Linked DNA regions of Rattus norvegicus. The protein of the gene in region 2 interacts with the protein of the main gene of each other region in a pairwise test. Links are inferred from orthologs where the notes say so. Each region holds a gene or a part of one and is shown on either strand. Other genes may lie near its edges. The genes, in order: Car1, Tfcp2, Phf1, Zcchc10 and Cdc73.

Region 1 (5,606 bases), on a different chromosome or scaffold from region 2:
GTGAAGGAGATGATGAAAACTATGTAAGACAAACTCTGAATGGATATCAAAACTGTGACTCGAAAGTACATCTTCACTTTTATCTGCTGTTAGTTATACCTAACTCATTTTGATCATATGCTAAATAAATGTTTGACAAAAGTCACCTCCAAATACTGTAATCCAAAAGGTCATGTCATCACCCAGTCTTACCCAGTCCGATGATGACTTTTATCATAGCATCTCTTCAATGATAACACAAATTCAAATGATACATTTCAGGACATTTACCATTTTAAAAATCAAGAGACAGAGGGGTCTACGCACTCATTACTCACCTTCATCAAAACCCCAATGATTGCCAGCCCATCAGCCTTCGAGATGGCTTCAGCAGCACTGGAGTACTTGGCTGAATTCCAGTGAACTAAGTGAAGCTAGAAGAGGGACATGTAAGTAATTGGTTACAAATACTGATGCAAAGGAAAAGATGCACCGTGAGTTACACGCAAATGTGTTATATTTGAAGATATGTCTTGGCACAGGTAGATAAAATTCACCTGGACCCTAAGGGTAACTAACTTTAGGATAAAAGGTGAAACCATTTTCTCTTACATGAGATAACTTTGTAAGAAGCTCTTTGCTTACAAACTTGGGCATATCCGTGTCCTTCCCAGGATCCTTTCAGTCAAATTCTGCTGAAACTCTTGGTGGAATTTTAGGCTTGTACATCAGTGTGTACCTGAGTATGTTCCTGATACTGTCTTGATATCTCCAAGGGAGTGTCTGACAGATCCCTGAAGAGTCACATGGCCAGAGAAAGGCTCAGCTTCTCATGCTACATGTGTTATTTTCTCCTCTTAGAAAGGTAACACCACACACCTAAGTGCTTAATCAAAAAGTACCACAGGTATTACAAATCTCGTAATTTACACATTTATCAGTCTCCATGCTCAGCTGAATATACCATCTCATTTGTTCATATCTTGGGGTTTTGTATTAGCTACTGACTTCCTGGAATTTCCTTCCTTTGCCTCTTCTGAACTCAAATTCCATGCCTCAAATAAATTGATTACCCCATATAAAGTGACTCTCATAACTGAAATCTATTCTTTTCATGCTATTTATCTGATCTCTTATTTCTCTCTACCCCTTTTCTTCCCTTCTTCTTTTCTCCCCCTTCTTTTAAAACCATTTTATTCTTCTACAAAATGTAGATTCTGACTCAGTTACTTTAAAAATAAATATTTAGTATATTATAAAGTCTCAATAAATAGTTGATGAATAAAATACAACAATTAGAGCACTCCTTTTGATAGAGAGCACTCTCCAGCCCTAATTAAAGTGGTGTTTCATTGAAAACTACTCTTCTCATCCGGTGACAATTCTATGTGAGCACCCACACTGCATTGAATCCCATGCTTTCCCCGCTGCAGAAGTGATGATACTGAGCACTTACAATGTAGGAGTTGGCCTAAATGCCTTGTAAGTATTCTCTCAGTAAGTGTACAAGGAGATTAATGCTATAGTACCCAATTGTATAAGTGAGAAGAATTATATAGCCAATAAATGGTTTAGCTTTGACTCCATGAAGGTCGAGGGAGGAGCCTGCACCTGTCACTCATTACCTGCCTACCTCTTGTACCTTCTGTATCACCCATGTGGGTGTTTGAGCTGAATAGTAAATAATACATTGAACTTTGTGACTAAATCTTTCTTGTCATTGGTTTAGTTTATGTTTTCATCAACTTAGTTGAGTGAATAAAGTCTCTGATTTGGATTCCATGAATACTCACAGGTATCCTTTCTAAAGCATAATATTTTAGGCTTCCATTCCATTTTAGTCCAACTTCAGTTTTGTAAAGGGGAAACTAGGACAGAGTTTTTATTTACTTCTGCAACACTGAAAGGCATTACCTAATCTTAAAAAATACCACAAAGCAAGTTATATCTGTATTTATTCCCCCAGCATCTAGTTTTATCACAATAAGCTGCAATATATTTTATAACCTGTTCTATGAAAAATCTCTCTTGTGTAGTTACTTCCATTGGTACTTCAGATACAAGCATAAATTATTAGTTGAAACATTTTTGATAAAAGTAAAAACAACAAAACTCACAGTGGTATATAATAAGCAGATATTATAATTGTTCATCAGAAAGTCTAGTTAAACAAATTCTGATATTCGAGTTCAAACAAATAATAATACTAAGCAGTTAATTTTAAAAGACATGGAATGAAATCTTCTTACTTGGAGAATGATGCTATATTGGTAAGTGGTAAAAAAGCAAGCTTCAAAATCATATATTCATTTTATTAAATTAATGCTAACAAAGCCATCTTAACTATATGTAATCATAGTTATATACACACGTTATGCATTCATATAAATAAGTGAATATTTTATCATTTTTATCTCCACCAAAGGTGAAACTTTTTAGTTTTTCAAAATATATATACTTATATTACTCTCAACATATATATACATACTCTCTCTCTCCCTCTTTCTCCCTCTCTCTCTCTCTCCATATATATATATATATATATATATATATATATATTCCTCCATTGCAATCGTTAAAGTCTAGCTCTGTGATTAAAATCCAGCACGTTCTGCTATGTTACTCCAGTGTTCTTGTCTGTATATATACATGCTACTGGTAAATTTGGGAAGTTAAGTAAATAGAGCTTGTTGGCATGTCCAGTCAAGTCAGAGTCCTAAAAATGATAGAACAATCTTTGAAGCTGGGAAGATGTCAAAGATTTTCATAAACTCTCCTTTACAAGTTAAGATATTTCTTCTTTTTCGGAGCTGGGAAATGAACCCAGGGCCTTGTGCTTGCTAGGCAAGCGCTCTACCACTGAGCTAAATCCCCAACCCCAAGATATTTCTTTCTATAGAAAAATATTCCTCCATTACAAAGTATGGTGTGCTGTGTTTGATTTAATGGATTTAGGCATCCATATAAAAACCAGTGTGGTCTCCCCTTTGAAGCATTCTGATAGTAGCTTCTGTAATACCAGAGATGTTCCACAGGCATTCTCATGAACTATATCTCATTATTATATCACACTACCTCTCCAGAATATTTGGCTCCATCCACGGTGTGTTCAGAGCCATGGTCGTTTGAGTTGCCCCAGTGAAAATGGAACTGGGTGAGCCGATAGCTATCAGCAAGAGGGCCACCTTTCAGCACTAGAAGGAAAGAGAGTTACTGTCAAACCTTTGGTTCATCTTTAATATAAACCAAAGCTGCATCGTATTGTGTGAGATGGAAGCAAGCACAAGTTGGTGCCAAAGTTATGTTTTCATTCTGTTTCCCCACTCCACATCCCTGCTGATGACACTCTTCTATATAGTGTCTTCCTGATTATGGCATAATAATACAGCTCATGATATATCCACAAATCCTAGGAAGGGAACCAAAAAGTTACCTATTTATGTAACCAAAATGACATGTTTCAAACGGAATAAGTTATATGATCAAAGGGCTTTTCTTGGATCTCTATTAATTTACAAGTTTATTCATTCATTAAATTGTACTGTGTGGATAGTAAGTATCAGAGTTTATAGCAATTTCTATTAATTAAATAAATAAACCTCATGGTTTATTATATAATGGTTTATTATATAATTAGTAAAGATATAACAACATAGCCTGAAAAAAATTTGTTGAGAACCTCTTGGCCAGGGTTGAAGTGATACTGCCTATCATGCAAGGCTACTTTAAAAAATTTTGGTCTGAATGACAGTCCAGCCTGGGGAGCCTGTCCAATCATACGATTGCATATGATAGCAATCCCAGCACTAGATCTAACTTAGTGTTAACGCTCCTAAGGTACCTGACATTTAAAATTAGAAACTTGTAGGAAAGCACTGCAAGAATTGCATTTTATCACTGGAACCCTTAGAGAATAAACGTTTAACAGCTTATTCAATAAATACTGATGGCCATGTGGCAAGGAACATGCCAGGCTCTAGGGTATGAGGGGAATCTGTGCATCACCTGTCTCACCATTGCACTCAACTACTCTCACTCTGCTTAGAATATATGCCCTTTTGGTTTCATGATCATAATGATTTGCTCACTATACTCTTTTGAAGAAATGTTACTTATTCAGATATATGAGCACAAAGTTTCTGGAATGGCTGGAATAGGTCAAATGGATTATTAATAAGGGTTAATAAGAATTAAGCTGGGAGCTCTGCAAGGAATCTTCCAAGAAGTCACAACTCCCCCCCCCAAGATATTACAATTATGAGATGCACAAGTGCATGTGCAAAATAATGGTATGCTGTGGAATTTCTGAAGCCCCTCCTGACTCTTATGCCTACTCTTGGGACTCTTTTCCTCCTATTTGGCTGCCTTGTCCAGCCTTGATATGAGGGCTTTTGCCATGTCTTATTGTATCCAGTTTCATTGTTGTTTCTTAGACACCTGCTCTTTTCTAAAGGGAAATGAAGGGGAAGTAGATCTAGGGGAGAAGGGAGGTGGAGAGGATCTGGGAGGAGTAGAGGGAAGGAAAACTGGTCAGGATGTATTGTATAATAAATATATTTTCACTACATGAGCTTCTTAAATGGATGGAACTAGAAAATATCATCCTGAGTGAGGTAACCCAACCACAAAAGAAGACACATAGTATACACTCACTGATAAGTAGATATTAGTCCAAAAACTTGGAATACCTAAGAATAGATTCATAGATTATATGAAGCTCAAGAAAAAGGATGACCAAAATGTGGATGCTTCATTCCTTCTTAGAAGGGAGAACAAAATACTCACGGGAGGAAAGGCAGGGACAAAGAGTGGATCAGGGACTGAAGAAAAGGTCATCCAGAGACTGCTCCACCTGGGGATATGCAGCCACCAAACCCAGTTACTATTGCTGATGCCAAGAAGTCCTTGCTGACAGGAGCCAGATATGGGTGTCTCCTGAGAGGCTCTGCCAGAGCCCTATTGACACAAATGAAGATGACTGCGCCTAACTATTGGATTGAACAAGGGAACCCCCAATGGAGGAGTTAGAGAAAAGACTAAAGGAGCTGAGGGGGTTTGCAGCATTATAGGAAGAACAACAATATTAACCAACCAGACACCCTAGAGCTCCCAGGGACTAAACCACCAAACAATGAGTATACATGGAGGGATCCATGGTTCCAGCTACCTATGTAGCAGAGGATGACATTGTTAGCATTAACAGGAGGAAAAGCCCTTAGTCCTATAAAGGCTGGTTTCTCCAATGTAGGGTAATGCCAGGGCATTTAGGTTGGAGTGGGTGAGTGGGAGTGGGAACATCTTTATGGAAGCAGGGGGAGGTAGGAGGGGGTATGGGAGAGGGGGGAACGGGATAATATATGAAATGTAAATACATAAAATATCCAAGAAAAATAAAATTAAAGAAAGATTATATTTTCAATAAAAAATACATTCACTTAGTAGATTCTAAGGAATCACATATCATAATTGTCTTTGGGCTTACCTGACTGGTTGCTACTGTCATCAAAAACTACATGGAAAGAATGTCCCACATTAACAATTTCTTTGGCAGTTGCAGGATTGTAGGAGACGCTGACTGGTTTCAGAGAGGAATCATGTTTGGCTTCGCTGGTTTTAATATCAATAGG
Region 2 (5,606 bases):
ACAGTGCACATTTTCTTCTAAATCTTAAGTACACGAGACTGTTGATATGTTTAATATGAGAGTGATATGTACTAGGACGTTTATATTCCAGTATCTTTTTTCTTTTTGAACTGAGAGCCTCATGCATCCTAGGCAAATGTTTATGTAACCTGAACTCCTTCTCTCCCCGCAGAGATTTATTACGCCGGTGATAACTTATAATTTACTCTGTCAGTTTCTATTTATTGAAATTGTGATCCTCAGGGTTTTTTTGGTTTTTTGCTTTTTTTTATCTTTATTAACTTGAGTATTTCTTATTTACATTTCGATTGTTATTCCCCTTCCCCGTTTCCGGGCCAACATCCCCCTAACCCCTTCCCCTCCCCTTCTATATGGGCTTCCCCATCCTCAGTTTTTAAAATACATTTCAAATGACATAGTTTCTTCCCTTCCCCTGAAGTCTCTGAGTTAATTAGCACACGGCTTAAGTATTGGGTCAAAGAAGAGTGTTTTCAGACACAGTAGAGAATTCTCTGAGCTCTCTAACTTGAGAGTTATCATGACAATGAATCATGAGGTGACATACACAGAGTGCCCTGAACTCACCCTTCATCTTCACTGTCTCTCCTTAGAAACGGCTCGCCCAACCACCAGCCAGAGCCACCCCCTCCAGTCACGGACGTAAGTCTAGAGCCAATGTCAGTTATCTGTAGTGTGTAGGAGGGCTGTTGTGGTGACTGATTCTGTCACACTCACTTCACAAATGCTTCCTGAATTTCATCTCTGACCTGGAGATGTACGAAGGACTAGAAACAGGCAGGACCTTGAGGTATTTTGTTTGTTGTTTATAGGCTTCACTGTGCAGCCCGGGCTGACTTAGGACACATTCAGTGGCTGTCCCACCTCTGCCTTCCTGCACAGGGTTCCAAACGCACGAAGTGTCACTCCTTTTCCTCCTCCTCCTCCTCTTTCCTGAGGCTCTCATTTGTTTCCCAGTCTGTGTAGTGTGACTTCTCACATAGCTGCCACTACCCGGTTTGATCCTTGAACAGAAAGAGCTTTCAGTCTGATAGTGAAGTATCTCTTGTGGGTGGAGAAGACCCTGTGTGATAGAAACAGTTCGGAGCCACTAGCTAGTGTGACTGTGGAGTGTGGAAGGAGGAAGTGGTTGTGTGTTTTCCAGTGAGGTAGCAGATGAATCTACTCACATACCAAAGAATGCATTCTTCCTTCAGAACCTCTTGCCAACAACCACGCCTCAGGAAGCCCAGCAGTGGCTGCATCGAAACCGGTTTTCCACGTTCACGAGGCTTTTCACCAACTTCTCAGGTTAGATTACCTTTTCCTTCAGCCTTCTCCAGCATGGGGTGTTCATGTGCGTCTCAGGTCCTCTCAGTGTCCCACATGGAATGTGTCGGGGAACATTTCAGACTTCTCAGCCAGCTGTAATGGTCCTATGAGTCCTTAAAGGAAGCAGCTTTTCATTGGAACTCATTTAAGCTTTTAAATGTTTTTTTCTATATAGCACTCTTAAATGTGGTTTGGTGGCACACACCTCAAATCCCAGCATTTTTTTTTCTTTTTCTTTTTTTCGGAGCTGGGGACCGAACCCAGGGCCTTGCGGTTGCTAGGCAAGCGCTCTACCACTGAGCTAAATCCCCAACCCCAAATCCCAGCATTTAAGTGGGAGGCAGATGCAGGTCTGTATGAGCTCAAGGCCAGCTGGGTCTGCCTAGTGAGTCCCAGGACAGCCTGACTCTGGACACAGACAGACAGACGTCTTTCATCTGATCCTTTATCAAGGAACAGATAGACCCATCCCTGATACCACTGTACATATTACTTACACAATACGCTTTTATGCAGCCTTCTGTGAACATCTGTGTGGGAACGTATAGTTGATAAGATGTCCTGTTTTGAGGGCTTCCATCATCTATGTAACAGAAAGGTCCAGTCAGAAGGAAATGCACTAGATAAGCACACACAGAAGTGTGTGAGGTGAGACTGCAGGGGGCTGGTGTGAGCCTGTCAGACTGTGGAAGGGTATTTCAGACAGGAAAGCAATTCCTGTTCAGCACAGTCAGGCTGAAAGCATAGGGTTGGGTGGAGAAGTTAATTGGCTGAGAATCGAGACAGAAGGTGAGGCAGAGGCCAGGCTACAGGCCTTTATCTGCTGTAGACATAACAGACTGTAGACTGTAACATACTGCTCATGAGGGGATGACTGTCACATCCTGAGGAGTCTTGGAGTATTTGCCTTTATCACTAACTGTGTTTCTGTTTATCCCAGGGGCAGACTTACTGAAACTAACTAGAGATGACGTGATCCAAATCTGTGGCCCTGCAGATGGAATCCGGCTCTTCAACGCATTGAAAGGCCGGTGTGTACCTACTGTTCAGATGCCAATGAGAATGGATTTTAAATGAGTTAATGTTCAGGAATTTTTCACAGTACTCTGCCCAAATAAGTATGTCCTGTCAAAACATTAGAAGGAAACTTGTAATCAGTGGGTAAAGACATATGGTTAAAGGAAAGTCCTAACTCTGAGAACTGGTCCACCCTCCCCCCACTGTATACTGATGTGTGCCCTCCTACATACACAGGGACACACACAGACGTGCACATAGCGTCTGTATATCAGGAACTGAATTCTAGTGGCAAGAGCCTTTACCAGCTAAGCCGTCTTGCCTACCATATAGTAATATTTGTAAGTAAACAGCTTATGACCCTGACCCTCATGTGAAACAGTTACTCTTGCTTCTTGGATATTTCTAACCATTGCTCCAAAGCTCACAAGCTCCAGTGACCGCAGGAGCTACTTGATCCTGTAAAGGATCGACAATCTAGGGTTTAGTGAAGCCTTGGGAGAACAAGGTCTCGGCTAGCAATAGTGTTCTCTTACCCTCTCTCCCCACTCTTCCCCTTCTCCCCTTTTCCCCCTCTCCCCTTCTCCCATCCCTCTTAGTGCTGAGAATAGAACCCAGGGCCTTGAGCTTGCTGGGCCAACAGTCTGCTCCTTGGCCAGAATTTAGAAGCTTAAATGGTGCCTCCTGTTGCAACGAGTCATCATAAACAAACAACAAAGCCCACGGTTGCGAGATAAGGAAACGAGTAACTTGCTTTTGGCCCAGGCATTAATAGATTTCCTTTGTGTAAAGCTGATGGTCCTTTTTCTTCTCCACATAGGATGGTGCGTCCAAGGCTGACCATTTATGTCTGTCAGGAGTCGTTGCAGTTGAGGGAGCAGCCACAGCAGCCGCAGCCGCAGCAGAAGCAGGAGGACGGAGATTCAAATGGTACTTTCTTTGGTAGGTTGTTCTGGGCAGAGCAGGCGGAAAGGAGATGAGATGACTCATGGCTGGTGTGAGAGTGGGACCAGCACAGCATTAGCTGGAGTTCTAGAAGGACTCTAATCCATACATGTTATGTGCAGTACTTTTTATATGCTTGACTTATTGAAACCAGTAATATCCATGGTCTGTAGATTTTCATGTCCTCTCCAGCGTTTAGAAGAGGGAGTGACTAGGCTTGTGGAGTAAGTGTTCACATGGTTCACATGGAGAAAGGGAAGCTGAGGCAGGATCTGCAGCAGGTGGTGTGGTCTCTGAGTCTCTAGAGATGTAATCCGCCTTTGCACTGACTCCTGTTCTTTCTTTTGCAGTGTACCATGCTATCTATCTAGAGGAGCTGACAGCTGTTGAATTAACAGAAAAAATTGCTCAGCTTTTCAGTATTTCTCCTCAGCAGATCAGCCAGATTTACAAGCAAGGGCCGACCGGAATCCATGTGCTCATCAGCGATGAGGTCAGTGTCTCCGTTCAGTTGAATGACCAGCCCACAGTTTGTTAGGGCCTGTGGCAGTGTGAGAGCTGTTCTGCCAGGGTTGAGTGTGTTTCTACACAGAGGGTTAGCTGTTTAATTTTAATTCTTTTTAACAGATGAATGGTCTTGCTATTTTGGCCTGACTGACCCTGCACTTGTGGGTTCACATGATCCTCCTGCCTCAGCATCCTGACAGGGTATCTGGGGCTGTTGGTATGAACCACTGTGTCTGGCTTAGATGTTGTTGCTTACTTACTAGTTCTTAAAAATTAGAGTAAGGTTGGGGTGTTAATGCACCCCTGGAGCCCTAGTACAGAGAAGTTTAGGCAAGATAGTGAATGCAAGTTCATCTCTGGGTATGTGGTAAGTTCAAGGCCCATGTAACCCATGTGAGATGATCTGCAAAAAAAAAAAAAAAAAACAAAAAACCCAAATAGGCAAAGCCAAAAACTGGAGAGGGAGATGTGGCTCAGCAGTTATGAGTGTTTACTGCACAAGATGAGGACCAGAGTTCAGATTGTAGAACCCATGATTTTCAGTTAAAAAGGATGTGCCCCCCCCCCAAATGCCTTAGCCCCAGCGTGGGAAGGGCACTGGGGCTTGAACTCTGCCAGCCTACCTGGTGGGACCGGACCAGGAAAGGAGACCCAGCCTGCCTTACCAACAAGGGGGGGAGCAATGGACCAGGAAAGGAGACCCCGCCTGCCTTAACAAGGCGGGAGCGATGGAGCACATGTGATAATGAATTTGGCCTCTGTGTGTGATTGAATACTCATACACATGTGTATGTATACATACATACACCTCATACATATAGGCACACACACATGCAAAACTATTTATCTTTTGCACATTTTTAGTTTAACTTAAATTTGAACAATTGTAAAAGCTTTCTAATTTGAAAAAAATCTAAAAACTCATATTCCTATACATATACACACTCTGTGCGTGTGTCTGTCTGTCTCTCTCTGTGTCTCTGTGTCTCTCTGTCTCTCTCTCTTACACACACACACACACACACACACACACACACACACACACACACACAAACGTTAAGATGGGATAGATGATGCTTCTAATAATCCCAGTTTGTGGAGGAAGGCAGGAGTGTTCCCCTGGGCAGCTCAGTGCCGGCTGAAGGAGGAGAGAGGTTGCTGCCACTCTGATTACACTCTTAAACCAGACACGAGTCATTGTTTCCCAGTCCCGGAGCTAAAATCAAGTTCCAAGAGTGATTTGGGAGCTAGAGAGATGCTTCAGTGGCGAAGAACACTCACTGGCTGCTGCCTTTCTAGAGGACCTACACGTGGTGGCTCACAGCCACCCATAATTCCCTCTTCTAACATTCATGGCACAGGCAGGCACATGAAATAGAAGTATATTGTGGCAAAACATACACATAAAGTAAGTCTAAAACAATTGGCTTAATGAGTTACTACAATTCATTTTTAAAAACTGGAGTGTGCTTTGTGTGCACCTGTGCATGCAGGCCTATCCCTCCCTGAGTGTGCATGTGGAGACCAGAGGGCCACTGGCATGTTCCACTGTGCTCAGCTTTCCGAGTGCTAGGAGGCTGATGTCAGGCCTTACTCATGCTTCACAGCAAGCGTTCTACCCCGGCTTGGCCATCTCTTCTCCTCTGTGGCCATCTTTATGGGCTATACATTTTTCAAGACAGGGTTTTTATAGACAAGGTTAGCCTTAAACCCCCTGTATAATGAAGGGGTGAGGGGTGACCAATGGGTGTGTGTGTGTGTGTGTGTGTTCCGTTCTCTGTTTTGTGGGTAGTTTTAAGCTGCCTGAT
Region 3 (6,325 bases), on a different chromosome or scaffold from region 2:
AAGAAGGCAGAGGGGCTGTGAGATGACCCTTGGCTCCTTCACACACCCCCACCGGTTTGCCCCACGGGATTCCCCTGCCCTTGTACCTGCAGGGCCCTCTGCTCCTGGGACCCATGCCGACTGTGAGCTGCTGTGGGTGGCCCCAGTTCCTCCACTTTCCCCTTCTGCCTCCTCCTCAAGGGTTCTGGCTCCGACTTCCGGCGTTTCCCCAGGGGACGTGAGACCCCTCCCCCAGGGCCCTGCCCTGAAGGGAAGCTGTAAGAGGCCTCCTTATCCCCCCAGCCCCCTCCCAGGCACCCCAAGACCCCCATTTTCTGTACATGTACCCTCCAAACAGATCCTTGAGAATTTCCCCCATCCCCCCTGGACCAGTGACCTGGTGGGGGATCCATCTCCAGTGAGAAGCTCCACAGGAGGAGGGGTCCGAGCATGGAGACCAAAAAGGCATTTCCTCTTTTTAATCTCCCTCCCTGAAATGAAACTGGGACAAGGGGGAAATCCGCAGATCAGGGCAGTTGCCAAGTCCCCTCATCCAGGCTGGCACATCACTCCCTCAGCCTCCCTCTTCCGACTCACCGGTCCTTGTGGCTGTTAAGGGCAGAAAGGAGCTTGGAAGAGCGTTCTCCTTTGGGAGTGTCTGAAAGCTGAAGGAAGAGGGTAAATGGGTCCCAGGGAGCACGCATTCCTTGTTCCAAAAACCCCAGTTCTCAAACTTTAGAACCCTTACCTCCCCCAGGAGCAGACTGTCCCAATTCTCAGAGGTGAAGGGGAGGATCTCTCGGTCAAAATCGAAATATTTCTTCTTACAGCAAACGCTGAGATGGTAGAGAACAAGATGGGCCACATCCACCCTGGAGGAGCATGAGATTGTCAACAGCAGCAGCATTATGGAGTCAGGAGTCATAGAGTAAAATGGCGGAGAGCACCATCCTTCTCACCAGCGAAGCTGTAACCTCCGTACTTTCTCAGGGCCGCCCCGGCACACACAGCATTCAAATTCATAGAATCTGTATATGGGTCAGGACAGAGGGACCTCACTCAACCCTCCAGTACGAGCTGCAGAGGGCTAACTAGTCAGTCGGGAGCGCGGGAGAGAGAGCACCCCAGGCTCCTGTGCAGTCTCCCTGGATCTCACCTGTCTCCGTAAAGGAGGGGCTTGCTCAGACACTGGGTGCAGGCCTCATGGAACCACTGGAGGCAGCTCCGGCATTGCAGCATTTTCAGGTTCCACCTCAAGGGGAAGACAGCGCCATGGCCCTCAGCCTTCTTCAAACCACAGGGCCCCCCCTCACCCTCTTCGCTCCCCTCTGTCCTGGGCTCTACCACCACAAAACACCCATGCCGTGGCTGGCCCTGCTCTTCCTTCACTTACTCCCCCGGGCCCCCGCAGTAACAGTAGCTCTGCTGCCTGTTGCTCAGATGTCCGGCGTCCCAGTCCAGCCCTTTCAGACCGTACGGCAGGGAGAGTTTCATGCCCAGCATGGCCCGGGCATAGGGACCCTTCTTCAGGGCACCTCCCCTCTGCAGAGGAACAGAGGGAAGCCTCAGAGGGCAGGGAAGGAGGAGAGGTCACGGGAGGCTCCCACACAAGCAGGCAGAGAGGTGCCTTTACCTTTGTGGCAATCGCAAAGACACACTGGCGGCAGACCCAGGAGCTGCCCTCTCCTTCTCCAGGGGCTGGGGCCCTGGGGACGTGACAGTCCTGGTGATAGGCTGAATGAGGAGAGAAGGCCACAGAGTGGCCTTTAAGTCCTGACCAGGGCATTTAAGACCGGTCCCGCTGGCAGGTCTCATCCTGACACTCAAGTTGAGTCAACGGGCTTCTAGCAGTTGAGGACCTTGCCCAAGGAAGCTTGGTTAAGAAATGTGAGCGAGCTACGGTAGGCCCTCAGCCTTGTCACCTGCATCCACGCTCCCTCTCCCTGTACTGAGATGAGGTGACAGGGTGAGGACTGGCCCAGGCAGGAGACGTGCGTGACTCACGCTATGAGGGAGGGTAACCCTTCTAGTGGTAACCCAGAAGACCCAGGGCAAACTGCACCCCCTAAACATCCCGCCCTCTCACCATGGCGACACTTCTCACAGCTGACCAGCCGGTTCCCAGGGACCACGGTCTCAGAGCGACACACACAACAGAGGAGCTCCTCACCAGGAAGGGCGGCTGTGAGAGAACAAAGTGTCAGGAGGCCCACTTCAACCCAGCGTCCCCATCGGCTCCAGCTGCTGCAGAGGGAAGCTGTGCTTTGAAGGGTCTCACCTGGGCTGATGTCCTTCCATAGAACTAGAAACTGGGAATCATCCTCAAACTGGACCAGACACACCTCCCGCGCACTGTCCACCTGGAGTGGATGACCAAGACCGTAAAGTGGGGGCAGGAATCAGACCGGCCTGGGAAGGCAGGGGATCAGAGGTGGGCCTCACCTTTTTGATGGTGCCCAAGTACAGGAGCCCATCAGTCCATCTTGCCAGCACATCTTGACCTTCCCAAAGCCGAGGTCTGGGGCCTGAGGTGGGAGCAGGGGAGGCTGGGTCCCAAAGAGAGGGAGCACCCAAACGGCTCAGCCGGGGGAGCTGCGCCATTGCATCCTGGGGTGGGCTATTCTGAAACAGGATGGTTAGAGTTTATGAGCGCTGAGAAAGTGTCCCTGTGTGGGTTGTTTTCTGTTACGGATGAAGAAACCCTGACCCTGACCAGGAATCTCCAACCCCAGTCTCGTAATCCTTTAGAACCCCGAGGAGGCAGGTCGTTCTGGTCAGCTTCTCTACTCCACTCCTTTCCATCTCCCCTGCCTAGCTCCGTAGTATCCCAGCTCCTCCGGACCTCCGGTGGAAAAGATGTTTGCAGAATCAAGGTTACCACTTAGTTTCACCTTTCCCAGCTGTGTAGAGGTAGCCTAACTGGGGCAATCTGTTGCCCGGAGATGTTTTGGGAGCTTTTCTAAAGACGTTAAAGGAGTAGAAACAGCTGCCTCCCCAGGCTTGTGTGTCTTATTTAGAGCCACCATCCTGGTGCCAGGTTATGTTAGGTCACCCTCAAATTTGGGGCTCCTTGACCTGGGATTAGATAACTTCCCTGAGTGCCCCAGGAGGGGGGCGTGTCCCTGTCCAAGTCTCTACTCCCCTACACTGCCAGTCCACGGAGGGACTTGAGTCGCCCCAGCACAGATCCCAAACTGGGACCAGGAGGCTCCCCCAGCCCTTCCTGCGCACCGACCCCCGGTTCCCTGCCCCCCCCCCTCCGGGCCTCCCGCCTTCTCCTTACCGGTGACAGCTGGGGCAGCTGGAAGCCAGGTAGGGGCAGACCCAAGAGATCTGGGTGAGTCCCCGGTGCGGGAAGACTGAGTGTGAGCGCCGAGGGGCGTGCAGGTGGAGGCCAGGGGGGTCCCCGGGCCCAGCCCCTCCGTCCTGGCCGCTCTGGGGCGTATGACGCAGCAGCCAAAGCAGCAGCAGCGGCAGGAGGAGTCGACAGAAGGAGGGAGGAGAGTGGAGGGTGGGGAGCACCAGTGGGAGGAGACGACGGAGGGGCGGGTAGGCAGCACCTCCCTCACCTCCAGTAGGCCCGGAGGGCGCTGCGCTATTGGAGGCGCGGCCGGTCGGGGAGGACGAGGAAATCCCTGTAGCCCCCTTTTCGGATAGGAGGCTTGCTCTGAGGGCAGCAGGAAATAACCTTCTTGGCAGCTAGCCTGCAGGTCAGGGCCGGGCCCCGCCCCATGCCACATCCGTTAGTTGCCCCGCCCCCGTGGCCACTCCAAGCTCCGCCTCCGCACGCGGAACCGCCCTCCTCATTCACGCTTTCTGTTGCCCCGCCCTTCTGCGCACGCGTAGCCCCGCCCGCGCGCCGCACCTGGGCACACAGCCACTCCTCCCGCGGCGAGCACTGGCATGGCCGTGCTCCTCTAGGAGGGAAAGGACCAGAGGCTACTTGGAACTAGTACTGGGGCGGTGACGCGCCCACACCAGCCAATGGGCACTAGGCGGCACGGACCGAACCATGGTTCGAACCGGTGGGCAGGGGAAGTGAGAGATTTAGTTGGTCACAGAGGGCCCGGTGTGGGCACTATGGGCACAACTCCCTGAGCTGAAGGACAGAGGAGAGGCACCAGGGCAGGCAGCAAAGTTAGTGTGTCCCTCCAAGTGAAAGCCCATAGCCTCCCTCACTCTGCAAAACAGGTCAAAATGGACATTTCTACATCTTACGGTATTTACTCACAATACTTCATCTGGCAGCTACCAATATTAATAAAACCATTAAGAGCTGTAACAGGGTCTGGAAAGATGGCTCAGTGGTTAAGAGCACTTACTGATCAGACCCCACATCGATGGTCAAAACTGTCCATAATTCCAGTTCCAGAGGCCCCGAAGCCTCTTCTGAACTTCAAGGAGCAGGAGACATGCACATGGTGCACATGTATATACTCAGGCTAAACAACTGTACACACACAATTTTTTAAATCTAAGATTAAGAAAAAAATTAACCTACACCAAATTTTCTTTATTTGATAGTTGGGTACATAATGTTGTCCACCCAATAAAATCATGTCTCAGCCCCGCCCCACCCCCGTGTTATACATATACACAAAACAGACACGCACACCCGCTTGCACAGGAGCCAGGCTCTGCATCCATCTTCATTTCTTATTAGCCTGAGCAGTGCCGATCACGCACTGGTTCACCTGTGGATGGACCAGTGAATAGGGTTACACGAGATCACTGCTTACAATCCGAAGTCTCCCATTCTGCCCCAATGCTGGGCCCACTGTCTGACTCCCTGAAATAAGGACTACGGCAGCAGGCTCGGCCTGACCCCCTGGAGGGACAGTGGTGCTGTGTCCACTAACCTGGAGGAGACCAGCAGTCTGAAAAGATGATAGAGATATGCCCGCTGGTCATATGTCAGCATGACACAGGCTACTCCTTGCTCGAGAAGAGGGACCAAGCCACAGGGCCTCTTCTTAATTAGTGATTGATGTTGGCGGACCCTACCCTCTCGAGGGCCAGTGCCACCCATGAACAGGTGGGTCCCTAATGAAGTGTGTTATTAGGTGGCTGAGGAAGCGATGAGGAGCAGCAACTCCATTATGGCCTACAGAAGTAACGACCTGACATCCTGACAATGGACTAACCCTTTCTACTCCACGTTGCTTTTGATCATGGTGTTTTAATCACAGGATTAGAAAGCTAACTGAAGACACCTACACGAGGATTACAGCAGCAGAGAGGTCTCCATTTTCAGCAACGCCCTGGACTAGACACCCCAAAGCCCTCCTACAAAACCTATCAGGACATTGAACTCCTTTGAGAACTAGGGCTCCTGAGAAAAAAATATCACAGAAGAGAATTGGAAACAGACTACTAGGTTCAGACCAAAGGACACACGAGCGCTGGGGTTATTATTTAGTGGGAGAGCGCTTGCCCAGCCTAAGCAGACCAGGCAGGAGCTAACTTGAAGGAGCTCATGCCGACCAAGACGGAGCGCTGCTGTGAGGATCAGGAAGGGGAGGTGGAGATGTCAGAGGTCAGGATGTAAGCATCTGTAGCGCCCACCTCCACATAGAAGCCTACGGGCACACATGGAGTCACTCAGGACAGGAACTCAAAAATGAAAACCTATAAAGGGTTCAGCATCTTGAGGCAGAGATGACTCAAGTGTTTAGAAGCACCGGCTCCTACAGAGGACCTGCGTTCAGTTGTTAGCACCTATATGGTGGCTCACAGCCATCCGCTACAGTTCCAGGGAACCCACTGCCCTTTCCTAACCTCCTCGATACCAAGAACAAGTGTGATAAACACCTCCACAGGCAAAACCTTCACATACAACTTTTTTTTGAAACAGGATTTCTCTGTATAGCCCTGGCTGTCCTGGAATACAATCAGGGTAGCCTCAAACTCAGAGATCTGTCTGTCTCTGCCTCCTGGGTGCTGGAATTAAGGGCATGTGCCATCACACCCAGCTAAATATTAATAAATAAATGAACCCATCCATCACCTTGGGGCTGGAGAAAAGGTTCAGAGATTAAGAGCACAGCTGAATTCCAAAGGACCTTGGCCAACTACACGCAGCTCAGAGCCGTCTGTAACTCCAGGGCCTGGCAATGCAGCTCCTTAGACACCAGACACACAGAGTGCACAAAAGAACTCTCAAGCACATTTTCCTACACAGGATGTTCACCTCACCACACAGGTCAGTTTCAGCGTCCTTTACAATGTGCCCTTGACCACCTGAGGTTGTGCGCTAACCTGACAGTGAGCAAGTCTAGTTGGTGCCATTTCTTCAATAGTTCAGGTAATTCATTACCACATTTTAGCAATTATAACTGACACCCAC
Region 4 (5,606 bases), on a different chromosome or scaffold from region 2:
GCGCTGGATGGAACTCAGAACCCTGTGCATGCTGGGCAAGCACTCTGCAAACGGAGCCATATCTCAGCCCACGTTCTACCTTGTACCTTAAAGGTTTTCAAAACGAGTTTCTGCTTCTTGATTAGGAAAATAGGTTGATCCTGTCACAGACACATTCACCACACAGAACCACCACAGGCCTGCAGACATGTTGTTTCACTCTAGCCAATCTCATGAGAGAATTTTAGTTCAAAGTCTGCAGTGCTGTGTATACTCCTACTTCTGCCGTACACAGAAGGCGATTCTATTAGCCGAGAGCAGGCAGTGCCTTGGGTTTTTTATTTTTACTTTTAATATTTATTCTTTTTTTTTTTTTTTTTTTGGTTTTCTTTTTTCTTTCGGAGCTGGGGACCGAACCCAGGTCCTTGTGCTTGCTAGGCAAGTGCTCTACCACTGAGCTAAATCCCCAACCCCATTTATTATATATAAGTACACTGTAGCTGTCTTCAGACACACCAGAAGAGGGCATCAGATCTCATTACAGATGGTTGTGAGCCACCATGTGGTTGCTGGGAATTGAACTCAGGACCTCTGGAAGAGCAGCTGGTGCTCTTACCTGCTGAGCCACCTCTCCAGCCCCCATTGCCTTGTTTTGTGAGAGATCACAATACAGAAAAGCTTTCAGTGGTGTGTCAAACCCTAGACCATCCTCACTGTCTAGACATCAGCCCTGGCAGGGCTGAATAATTAGTTAATTCCAGACAAGGTCTACCTACCCAACTCCAGATAACATGGATTTAGTTGTCCAGACTGGTTGGACCATGAAGTCATAGAAATCTACCTGCTTCTGCCTCTTGAGTGCTGAAATTAAAGGTGTGAGCTATAATACTGGCTGGGTAGATATTTATTGTTAGAATCTGGCGAAGTTTATTAACTCAGTTTCTAACTTTAATTTTTACATTCATTCTTCAGAAACATGACTTACCAAAAAGATCAAGTTTTGATACAGAAAAGCCACAAAAGTATCTATTATATATAACACACACAAGCAAGTGTGTACACACACACACACACACAGACACATGGGGGAGGGGAGAGAGGGAGAGGGGAGGGGGAGAGCATGTGTGGTACTGGGGGTGGAGGGCTCATACATGCACTTGACCACTTAGCTGTATCCTTGGCCTACTGTGAGAATACTTGTTCTTCCTTTTGCTCTCCATCCCCACACAGCCCTATCGACTTTCACATTTCATGTGTCCCATACCTGCCCTGCTCCTATCTCTTAATCCTCCCCACCCCTAGGGGTGATTCCATTTGCTTGCTATGGAGCAGCAGCAATGAGCATGGCAGCTAAAATACCTCTGTGGTGGGATTAGGGCCATTTGGTTAGAGGCCCAGAATACTGTAAGTAGGTCATATGGCCATTCTAGTTAGGTTTTTTTTTTTGTTGTTTTTTTACTTTTAGAGCCCATATTGATTTCCATAGTAGCCAAAGCACCAGTTTACACTCTCATCAATAGTGAATAAGGCTTCTCTTTATCCAAGGATAATCCTTGCCAGCTTTTGTTGGCCATTCTGCATTTCTCTGATGGCTAAGGATGTTGGGCACTTTTAAAAAAAAATCCATTAGCCATTTGTATTTCTTTGTCACTATTAAATTCCTTAGTCCAAATTTTAAAATTGGGTTGTTTTCTTGTGTAGTGATTTTAGTTCTTTGCACACTCTAAGTATCAGTTCTTAGCAGGCAAAGATCCTGGCCCAGTTGATAGGCTGTTATTTTGGTTTTTTCCCCCCCCACTCATCTAGTGATTTCCTTTACTGTCCAAAAGATTTTTAGCTTTACAAAGTCTTTCTTGTCAATTTGAGAGGGAGATATTTTTGAAGATAGGATGTCACTATATAACACTGTCTGGCCTCAAAAGAAGAGACCTACCTGCCTCTGCCTTATATTAAAGATCGGACCACCAAACCTGACTGTTTTTTAACTTTGGAGACAGTCCAGGCTTGCTTTGACATATACTATGTAGCCAAGGATGACCCTGATGCTCCTACTCCATAAATGCTAGGATTACAGGTGTACACACCCACACTTAGCTTAAGTGGATGAGACTGAAATGCTCAGTGTCTTCTGAACTTGAAAACATGGGAATCCAGTCAGGAGTATTATCTAGGGACAATTCACTCTTATCCCTTCCTGTCCAGTGTAGGAATTAAGCTGTAAATTCTGCACGGTAACTAATTATATAAGCCTGGTTCACTGGCCATGTGAGGATTTCCCTGTTGTAAGAATGGGACCAGTGCCTGTAGGTCATCATCTTTCACCATTCTCAATAGGATCTTTTTAAATGAAAATCTTGTTCCGCTGTCCTTATTTATTCTTTGGGTGGGACTAAGGGCCTCTCCACATTCTTAATTTATAATAAAGGGTAGGGGAGGAGAAAGTCAAAAAAGAAAACCAATAGGCAAGTTCTTACAGATTTCTTTTTGGAAAAAAGCATGCATTGATTCCATGATCTATTATTTTTTTTAAATTTAATTTGTGTGTGTGTGTGTGTGTGTGTGTGTGCACGCTTGTACATATGTGAGCACAAATAGGTTAATAATAGCTACCTTACTAGTAGAGATTTGAGGTTTAAGTATGCTAGTACTTATAAAGAGCATGCACAGGGCCCAGACAGAGTAACCATTCATTAAAAATCAGCCGATAGTATTATAAGCTGGATGTGGCAGCGGTGCACACCTGTAATCCCAGCACTCAGGAGACTGAGACGGGAAAACTGCAAACTGAGACAGGAGGACAGCCTGAGCTACATAGCGAGAAGGTCTCCAAAGCCCAGAATGAACAAAAGTATCAGCTAGCATTATAATGAAACTTTCAGCCCCTTAACCGACTCTGCAAAGGATTCTGTAAGGCCCCTGAATACCACAGGTAAACCTACCTTTGCTGCAGTAATCTATTTTCTTTTTCTTTTAAAGCTTTCTTCAGCTCTGCTGTTCTCGAAGGCCTATGTAGGTACTTTCTTTTCCCTTTGCATTCATAAGTCCAATGTCCAAATTCCAAGCATTTCTGACATCTTACGTGTTGCTTATTGGCTTCACTACAAAGAAAAAAGAGAACACAACAAACCTTGGAAGTTTTGTCTTGGGGCACTGTCTGACCTAAAAGAGCAGAAAGTATCAAGCAATGTTTACCGTAGTCTGCAAAGCTACTTAAGTGACCAATGCATGCAGCTTGGGGTTCAACAGAAGGAGCTGAGTCTTGCTCTTCTTTTCTTTCTTTTTTTTTTTTGGAGCTGGGGACTGAACCCAGGGCCTTGCGCTTGCTAGGCAAACGCTCTACCACTGAGCTAAATCCCCAACCCCGAGACTTGCTCTTCTTTTTTTTTTTTTTTTGGTTCTTTTTTTTTTTTCCGGAGCTGGGGACCGAACCCAGGGCCTTGCGCTTCCTAGGCAAGCGCTCTAACCACTGAGCTAAATCCCCAACCCTGGCCCGAGTCTTGCTCTTCTAAGCCCAGCACCGAATATCATGCTTATACTCCTCACTTTCATGCCGAAGTAGGAGGATGGCTCTGAGTTCAAAGTCAGCCTGAGCTGCAGAGCGACCCCGTGTTTCAGCAAAGCAAAACAAACAACAAAAATTCTAAGTTTTCCCATCCCAGCAATGATGTATTTGGACCAACATTTTTAGCTCAGAATATAAAGGATAATAAAGATTTTTATTTTCTTTGCAAAATGCTAGATATTAAACTCAGAGCCTCCTTCCTGAATTGTCTACTACTAAGGCAGACCTCTAACCTGTTAAAACACCTTTAAGGCTGGGAAATAGCTCAGGTGTTTGCTGTAAGCCCAAAGACCTGAGCTGCATCCCTAGGTCTGTGTAGTGGAAGGAGGAGAACTGACCCCAACAAGTTGTCCTCTACTCCTATACACGCGCAAATAAAAAAGGTTATTTGTTTGGTTGATTCTGCAGCTGTAGACCAGGCTGGCCTTGAACTCATAGATCTGCCTCTGCTATCACTTTTTTACTTACTCATGAAAAATGGTGGCAGTGCGATAACTCAGTGGGTTAAGGCACTTGCCACACGATACTAGGATTAAAAGTGTGAGCCACTACAACCACCTTGTACTTTAATAAAATAGTCCTTGAGCTTCCAAACAAACAAACAAACAAACAAACAAACAGAAAAACCCAAACTTTATCTATTAATAAATTTTATGAGTAAGACCCTTCTGCAATACAGGTCACATTTTTTGGAGCACCAAAGCACCACAAAGGGGAAATTTTAGACCTGTCACATAACAGGCTACAGTCCAAAACCAAGCATATTTAGAGTTGGAGAAACGGTTTAACAGTTAAGCACTTGCTGCTACTGCAAAGGATAAATGGTTTGGTTCCCAGATTCCATCCGGCGACTTATAACCATCTCTCCCTCCAGTTCCAAGGGGTCTGACACCCTCTTTTGACTTCCGAGGGCACCAGGGACACACATGCTGTAGAGATGACAAGCAGCCAAAGCACTCACACACATAAAATAGCTTTTAAAAAATGTTTCTAGGGGTTGGGGATTTAGCTCAGTGGTAGAGCGCTTGCCTAGCAAACGCAAGGCCCTGGGTTTGGTCCCCAGCTCCGAAAAAAAGAAAAAAAAAAATGTTTCTAAAGACTGGCACATAGAGAGGGATTGTCGGGCTTTGTGGTGAAACTTTTGCTTGGCGTACGTTACTCCTCGGTTCAGCCTTTGGAAATATTATATAAAGAAGAAAGTTAAGCTATTTTAAAGCTAGACACAGTGCACTCCTGTAATCCCAGGATCCTGAGGGGTGAGGCAGGACTGAGAACAGAGTGAAATGGAGATCTGTGGTAAACAAAACGGATGGGACAGGGAATATGATGGATGACCAGCCAGAAACCAAAAATACACAATGGAACTGTATACTAAATCTAAGAAAAATATTTAGCAAAGATGAAGATAAACCTGTTAAGAAAAGCAATACAGGCCTGGTGAGATGGCTCAGCGGTTAAGAGCACTGACTGCTCTCCCAGAGGTCCTGAGTTCAATTCCCAGCAATCACATGGTGACTCACAACCATCTGTAACAGGATCTGTTGCCTTCTTCTGGTGTGTGTGAATAAAGTGATTAAATAAATCTTAAAGAAAGGAAGAAAAAAAAAGAAAGAAAGAAAGAAAAGCAATACAAGTGTAGGCCTTTAATCCTACCACTCAGGAGGCTGAGGCAGGAGGATCTCTATGAGGTCAGCCTGGAGAAACCCTGTCTTGAAAAACCAAAAGGAGAAGCAATATGAAACAAGGAAAGACTCATGACTTTTTTTTTTAAAGATTTATTTATTTTATTTATATATTAGTACACTGTAGTTCTCTTCAGACACTTCAGAAGAGGGCATCAGATCCCATTACAGATGGTTGTGAGCCACCGTGTGGTTGCTGGGAATTGAACTCAGGACCTCTGGAAGAGCAGTCAGTGCTCTTAACCACTGAGCCACCTCTCCAGCCCGACTCATGACCTTTAAGTGGAAAACACTCCTTGTTTTTGTTTTTAAGACACGGTCTCTGTTGTCGACCTGGATGGCCTTGAATTCACAGTTCCACCTGCTTCTGCCTCCTGAGTGCT
Region 5 (5,606 bases), on a different chromosome or scaffold from region 2:
AACACTATCAAATGTTCATAGGTAACGTGGGTAAAAGGAAACCAAAAGGTGTGGCAATTCACTGACTTCAGGGGGATAGTGAGGATGAAAACTAGGCAGAAGGAACTTCAAGAAAGAGGTAACGAATAAGCAGTGATAGTCTGTCAACTCTTCCTTTTAATAGTAATAAAAAGGGAACAGTAGAAATGTGGAATCAGCAATACTTTTAAAGCATATATCTCTCCTCCATCTCTTTTAAAAGGTAATGATTGAGGAGAAAACAAAGCAAGACAGAAATACTAATGTACAAAGGCAAAGCCTCTGATAGTATCCAAAGAGCACTCACACGAGGGAGTGACAACCTAGAAAGAGACACTTTGTGCAATTTCAGGAAGAAGCACAAAGACACAGCTACTGGTAAGCTACTGGAATACAAAATTTTCCACTTCATCTATGTTCATAGGAAGGCTTATCTAAGAGTGAGAGCAAATTTAGTACTCACATGCTTCCCCATTGAGATATCCAAGGAGATCCTTTCTGTCAGGTCTTCTAACCACAGGAATATTTTCAGTCTAAATCCAAAATTTTAAATTAGACATTGAATAGAAGCAACTATGAAACTTGATAAATACCATATAATCTCTGAATTTATCTAACATACCTTGGTAACTTGTATTTAAAGTCACAATTGTTTTGCTAAAAACAAAATTTTGAAAATTTCTCAAATGTTAATTTTCAATAATTTACTTCTGAAATTTCAAAAAGATTTATTCGAGACAGTTAAAAATAACTTTTATCTTTTTGCAATGTACCAATCCCAGTCTCTCTCTCTCATCCCTTGGCTTTCCTGCTCTAACTGTACTCAGGATGTTATGCACTTATGAAGCCACATTTTTTCAGTCTCAATGTTGTCTCATTTTTTTTTTTTTTTTGGTTCTTTTTTTCGGAGCTGGGGACCGAACCCAGGGCCTTGTGCTTCAATGTTGTCTCATTTTATACAGTATCTGCAGTGCTTTTCTCCACCCAGACCAAACCTCTTCAAACTATTCAACTGAAATCCTTCCAAATAAATTACATAAACCACTAAATATATATTTTGATAATTGATAAGAATGAGAAAAATAGACTATAAAAATGTTGACTGTAGTGATTAACCCTCTACACTTCTTTTTATCCTAGACTGTATATAAATTCAAATAGAGAGAAAAAAGATTTTAAAGTTCTTGTGTGAACACATTATCAATTTAGAAAAATGAAGTTTTTCTTTAATCCACCTACAATCATTACTTGTAAACATATGGTTGGAATTGGGGCTGGGAGATGGCCCAGCAATCAGAGCCCTTCTGCTCTTTAAGAGGACCACAGTTTGCGTCCTAGCATTCCCAGTTACAGGTAGCTCACAACCACCTCTAACTCCAGTTCAGGGAAGGAGTTAAATGCCTCTGGCCTTCTCTGGTACCTGCAGTCGTGTGTACTTAAGAGACACATGTAGACATTAAAGTTAAAAACAAAAAACAAACAAACAAAAAACCAGCAATTCTTTTCAAGATTAAAACAAATAAATAAAATGTATACTGCAGGTATCGAGTCATCTTTGGGACAACGACTTTTGCCATTACCACAATTTTTCTTATCATTTTTCTAATGTAAACAAGAGAGTGCAAGAAAAACTGGTTTCTAAGGGATTGCATAGATTAAAACCTTTGTTGAGTATTATGAACAACAATGAAGTGATGAGAACCCTTAGTATCACTAGCCAATTGCATCACAATGACCACTGAGTCACTACACCCATTATTTGCACATACTTTTTTCTGACTTAGCTGAACAAGTAAATCGCTTATTTTTCTTCAGCTATACATGGAAAATCTAAAATTTATATAAGGAATATAAATATAAATATATATTTGTACACAAGTTTAAAACCTACAAGTATTTCTTTCCTTGTCATTTTTAACCAGTGTATCTGGAACATTACACATATCTGAATTAATGTCTTTTTGGTTTTGTTCTGGTTTTTCCAGACGGGTTTTCTCTGTGTAGACCCAGTTGTCCTGGAACTCACTCTAGAGACAAGACAGGCCTTGATCTCAGAAAGATCCCCCTGCCTCTCCCTCCCAAGTACGGAGATTAAAGTATGTACTATCACCACCCAGCCTGAATTGATATTCTTTAAATTACTATCTCAAAGCTTACTCATGTATTTCAGAACCATCTAAGTATTGTTTATGTCCACATTATGACCCACCTGAGAAGCTGCAGGTCTACTGACTCTACAAAGCCCCAGAGATCAGAGCACCTATTCCAGGAAGAGTCAGCACACAGCACAGAGCAAGGAACATGGCAACTTAAAAAGCAACCTCTAATCTGTAAAGCTGCAGAATTTTAGATCTCTGTACCATTTCATTTGGAGAAATTTTAAGTAAAGCAAGGGTTATATCTTATATGACTATAAATGTAAGTCCTAGAGTCCACAATAACTGTTACTATAAGTTATGAACTATAGCCACTCGAAGAATAGTCTTGCGGAGCAGTGGTAGCACTCAGGAGACAGAGGCAGGAGAATCTCTTAAGTTCCAGGACAGCCAGGTCTACAGAATGAATTTCCGATGAGCCAGGGCTAAACAGAAAAACTACGTCTCAAAAAACAAAACTATGTATGTATACATACATATATATGTATATATAAATATACATACATGAATATATAGATATATGAAATGTTTATAGCTCTAAGTACGTAAATTACTTAACAAACAATTCTAATTATTGCTTAATTAGGATTTTAAAGATCTAATAAATAATGTAATGGTCAATTATTAATTTTCCCTACTACTTACCAACTTTAAGATTTTTAAACATATATTTAACACTGAATATATGTTTCTTACTCAGAAAAACAGTCCTACTGAAGCAGAATAAATGAGGTACTTTCACAACTGGTCCAAATAACAAGTTACTTTTCAAAAGCCTCAACTATCTCTACTTAGAAGGAAAGGTTGTAAGAGTAAATTTCACACAACATAATGCAATCCAGCAGTAGTGTTAAGCTGCCAAAAAATATCTCTAGTGATGGAAGTCACAATGAAGATTTTATGGGTTTGTTTTGAGAATATTCAGAAATGAAAGAACTACTTTCAAATTAAGACAATGCAGTAAAGTTAAAACAGCTTTTAGAGTAGATATTTGATTATATCAGTATCTCCAAAGTAATTCTATGTCTGATCCATCAAGAAATCTGATGGAGGACCACTTTTAATAAAAGTTAAAGGGCTGCAGCGTCTCTCAGAAGAAGAGTACTTGCCTAGCAAGCATGAAAGCCTGGGCTCAGTGCCCAATACCACATTAACAGGACATGACTGCAGACACATCTGATCCCAGTACTAGAGGGTAGAGGCAAGAGAAGCACAAGCTCAGGTCATCCTCAATTAGACAGGTGCTAGAGGCCAGCCTGGGCTACATGAGACTTGTGTCCTCCCAATACCCAGAGAAATATCTGGAGAACCATCATAATTTGCACATGTATGCCAAGCTGCAACGTCAAACTCAAATAATTCAGAATCCTACTTAACAGTCCCTTGCCAGCAGAAGAACCTCATCATAACAATCTTTGTGAAATGAAATATTTTTAATTATTCCTAATAATTTCCTCTCAACAATGAATTTTCAAACACTGACAAAGCAGATAAAACTAAAAAACAATACATTTGTCAATAAAGTACCAAAAGAACTGTTCTGGTTAAAATTCTAAAGAAGTATCTGCTTACGTTGGGTTTATTGAGATTTTCATACTTTAGTACTAAATTTATATCATTCTTATGCCTTCTCCTATAATATGTTTATACTAAGAAAAGTTTTCTTGAAATTAAACTATAGTTCTGAATTATCAGAGTTCTTCTACTTATATTTTTTGAAACATCTATGTAGTCACTTTTAAAAGTTCTGTTATGGGGTTGGGGATTAGGCTCAGTGGTAGAGCACTTGCCTAGGAAGTGCAAGGTCCTGGGTTCGATCCCCAGCCCCGAAAAAAAGAAAGAAAAAAAAAAAAAGTTCTGTTATAAATGTTACCTATATTTTACATGAATGAACTGCCAACTAAAAAATCTGAATAAATCACGTAGCAGTTTAATTTTCACTCTCCATGACAATTTCAGACATTTGAAACCCATGAGTGAAGTTATCTATAACTATTTGATCAATAGTTTTAAAATGACTCCTACTTACAGCTGCACGTCGGACATAAACAGGATGCGAAAGGTGCACATTATTAAGGAGAAATAGGATAGAATCCAATGTGTAGTATTCTCTGGGTTGGCCTTCCTTTCCGGTCCTAAAATTAAGGCATGACTTTTATTAAGATTAAGATAAATATTTGAGCTCAGTTACATGCATTCATTTATCTATATCTAGTTGGTTATCTAACAGTGTATTTAACCTAGCAAAAACATACATGCAGTATAAACTTTCACAATGAGTTGTCATTGGGCAAAAGTAAACAAAAAAATGCAGAAAAAAAAAAAACAGGGAGAGCACATAAATTCATTCTTTAAAATACCATATATACTCTTTCTTTTCTTTATTTAAGACAGGCAAGGTCTCGGGTTTGGGGATTTGGCTCAGTGATAGAGTGCTTGCCTAGCAAGCACAAGGCCCTGGGTTCGGTCCCCAGCTCCAAAAAAAAAGAATAGAAAAAAAAAAAAAAAAAAAAGACAGGCAAGGTCTCATGTATCCCAGCTAGCCTCAACTCTGCTACACAGCTGAGGACAGCATGTACACTCCACCATATTTCTTTGCATGTGGTGTTGGGGATCAAGTGCCGAAACCCATACATACTAAGCAAGCATCACACCAACTGAGCTACATCCTCAATCCCAACTCTAAATATGTATACATATTTTAAAATAAGACTTGAGTTCTGGACTCTGTCAACAGAAAAAATAAAAAAAAAAAAATCCAACCAGCTGCACAATGGAAAGGATTATCATAGAAAACAAACTAGATGAAGGTATTACTAAGGATGCACTTAAAAGATATACATCTTATAATTCTAAAAAAGATACTGCTATACAACATCTTCAACAATACTCTGAAAGTTAAAAGGATGTACTCCAAGGAGATGATCCTTATAACATCTCTCAAACTAAACCAATAAAGCAAAACTAAAATACTGTGATCAAGTAATGTAGTCTTGGGGATACAAGTTCTCTAATGCTAACGCACACACCACTTTGCAATCCCTTCCTTTCTCCTCCATCTACTTATGATGGTTCAACTGTAGGAATCCATTTAAATACAGCTCACTTTATTTTGTCCTAAACCTCCTTTACTAGCCTCTATTATCACTTTTACTCTAAGCAAGTGGTTCTCAGCCCTCCTAATGCTACAACTCTTTAATACAATTCTTCTTGTTCTGGTGACCTCCAACTAAAAAATAATTTTCGTTGCTACTTCGTAACTCTTAACTTTGCTACTGTTATAAATGTACCTATGTTTTCTGATGGCCGTAGGAGACCCCTGTGAGGGTCTTCCCACACTTCCAACCCACAGGTTGAGAACCACTGCTCTGAAGTGATATGTCAAATCATTCATTGTTAATTAATATACAAAGTAATTATCATAAAATAGCA

The links.
Region 1: the proteins of Tfcp2 (region 2) and Car1 interact in binary tests that used the Homo sapiens proteins (3 or more experiments, as listed by UniProt). The two-hybrid records come from large-scale screens. The link is inferred for Rattus norvegicus from reciprocal best matches to the Homo sapiens genes TFCP2 and CA1.
Region 3: the proteins of Tfcp2 (region 2) and Phf1 interact in binary tests that used the Homo sapiens proteins (3 or more experiments, as listed by UniProt). The two-hybrid records come from large-scale screens. The link is inferred for Rattus norvegicus from reciprocal best matches to the Homo sapiens genes TFCP2 and PHF1.
Region 4: the proteins of Tfcp2 (region 2) and Zcchc10 interact in binary tests that used the Homo sapiens proteins (3 or more experiments, as listed by UniProt). The two-hybrid records come from large-scale screens. The link is inferred for Rattus norvegicus from reciprocal best matches to the Homo sapiens genes TFCP2 and ZCCHC10.
Region 5: the proteins of Tfcp2 (region 2) and Cdc73 interact in binary tests that used the Homo sapiens proteins (3 or more experiments, as listed by UniProt). The two-hybrid records come from large-scale screens. The link is inferred for Rattus norvegicus from reciprocal best matches to the Homo sapiens genes TFCP2 and CDC73.

The regions. Positions count from the first base shown.
Region 1 is NC_086020.1:88,583,730-88,589,335, reverse strand, and holds part of Car1 (carbonic anhydrase 1), read right to left. Parts: coding exon 5,462-5,606; intron 3,174-5,461; coding exon 3,055-3,173; intron 414-3,054; coding exon 318-413; intron 1-317. UniProt on the Homo sapiens protein: Catalyzes the reversible hydration of carbon dioxide. Can hydrate cyanamide to urea.
Region 2 is NC_086025.1:133,501,709-133,507,314, reverse strand, and holds part of Tfcp2 (alpha-globin transcription factor CP2), read left to right. Parts: exon of another isoform or gene 1-611; coding exon 612-660; intron 661-1,214; coding exon 1,215-1,308; intron 1,309-2,269; coding exon 2,270-2,360; intron 2,361-3,166; coding exon 3,167-3,276; coding exon of another isoform or gene 3,277-3,288; intron 3,289-3,641; coding exon 3,642-3,784; intron 3,785-5,606.
Region 3 is NC_086038.1:5,017,114-5,023,438, reverse strand, and holds the start of Phf1 (PHD finger protein 1), read right to left. Parts: upstream 3,465-6,325; 5' UTR 3,263-3,464; intron 2,602-3,262; coding exon of another isoform or gene 2,581-2,601; coding exon 2,422-2,580; intron 2,340-2,421; coding exon 2,258-2,339; intron 2,162-2,257; coding exon 2,066-2,161; intron 1,714-2,065; coding exon 1,613-1,713; intron 1,522-1,612; coding exon 1,373-1,521; intron 1,232-1,372; coding exon 1,136-1,231; intron 1,008-1,135; coding exon 939-1,007; intron 852-938; coding exon 728-851; intron 645-727; coding exon 577-644; intron 482-576; coding exon 377-481; intron 256-376; coding exon 87-255; intron 1-86. Other genes in the region: kinesin-like protein KIFC1, read right to left, coding at 4,629-4,673. UniProt on the Homo sapiens protein: Polycomb group (PcG) that specifically binds histone H3 trimethylated at 'Lys-36' (H3K36me3) and recruits the PRC2 complex. Involved in DNA damage response and is recruited at double-strand breaks (DSBs).
Region 4 is NC_086028.1:37,972,965-37,978,570, reverse strand, and holds part of Zcchc10 (zinc finger CCHC domain-containing protein 10), read right to left. Parts: intron 3,078-5,606; coding exon 2,919-3,077; intron 1-2,918.
Region 5 is NC_086031.1:57,992,587-57,998,192, forward strand, and holds part of Cdc73 (parafibromin), read right to left. Parts: intron 4,310-5,606; coding exon 4,204-4,309; intron 552-4,203; coding exon 482-551; intron 1-481.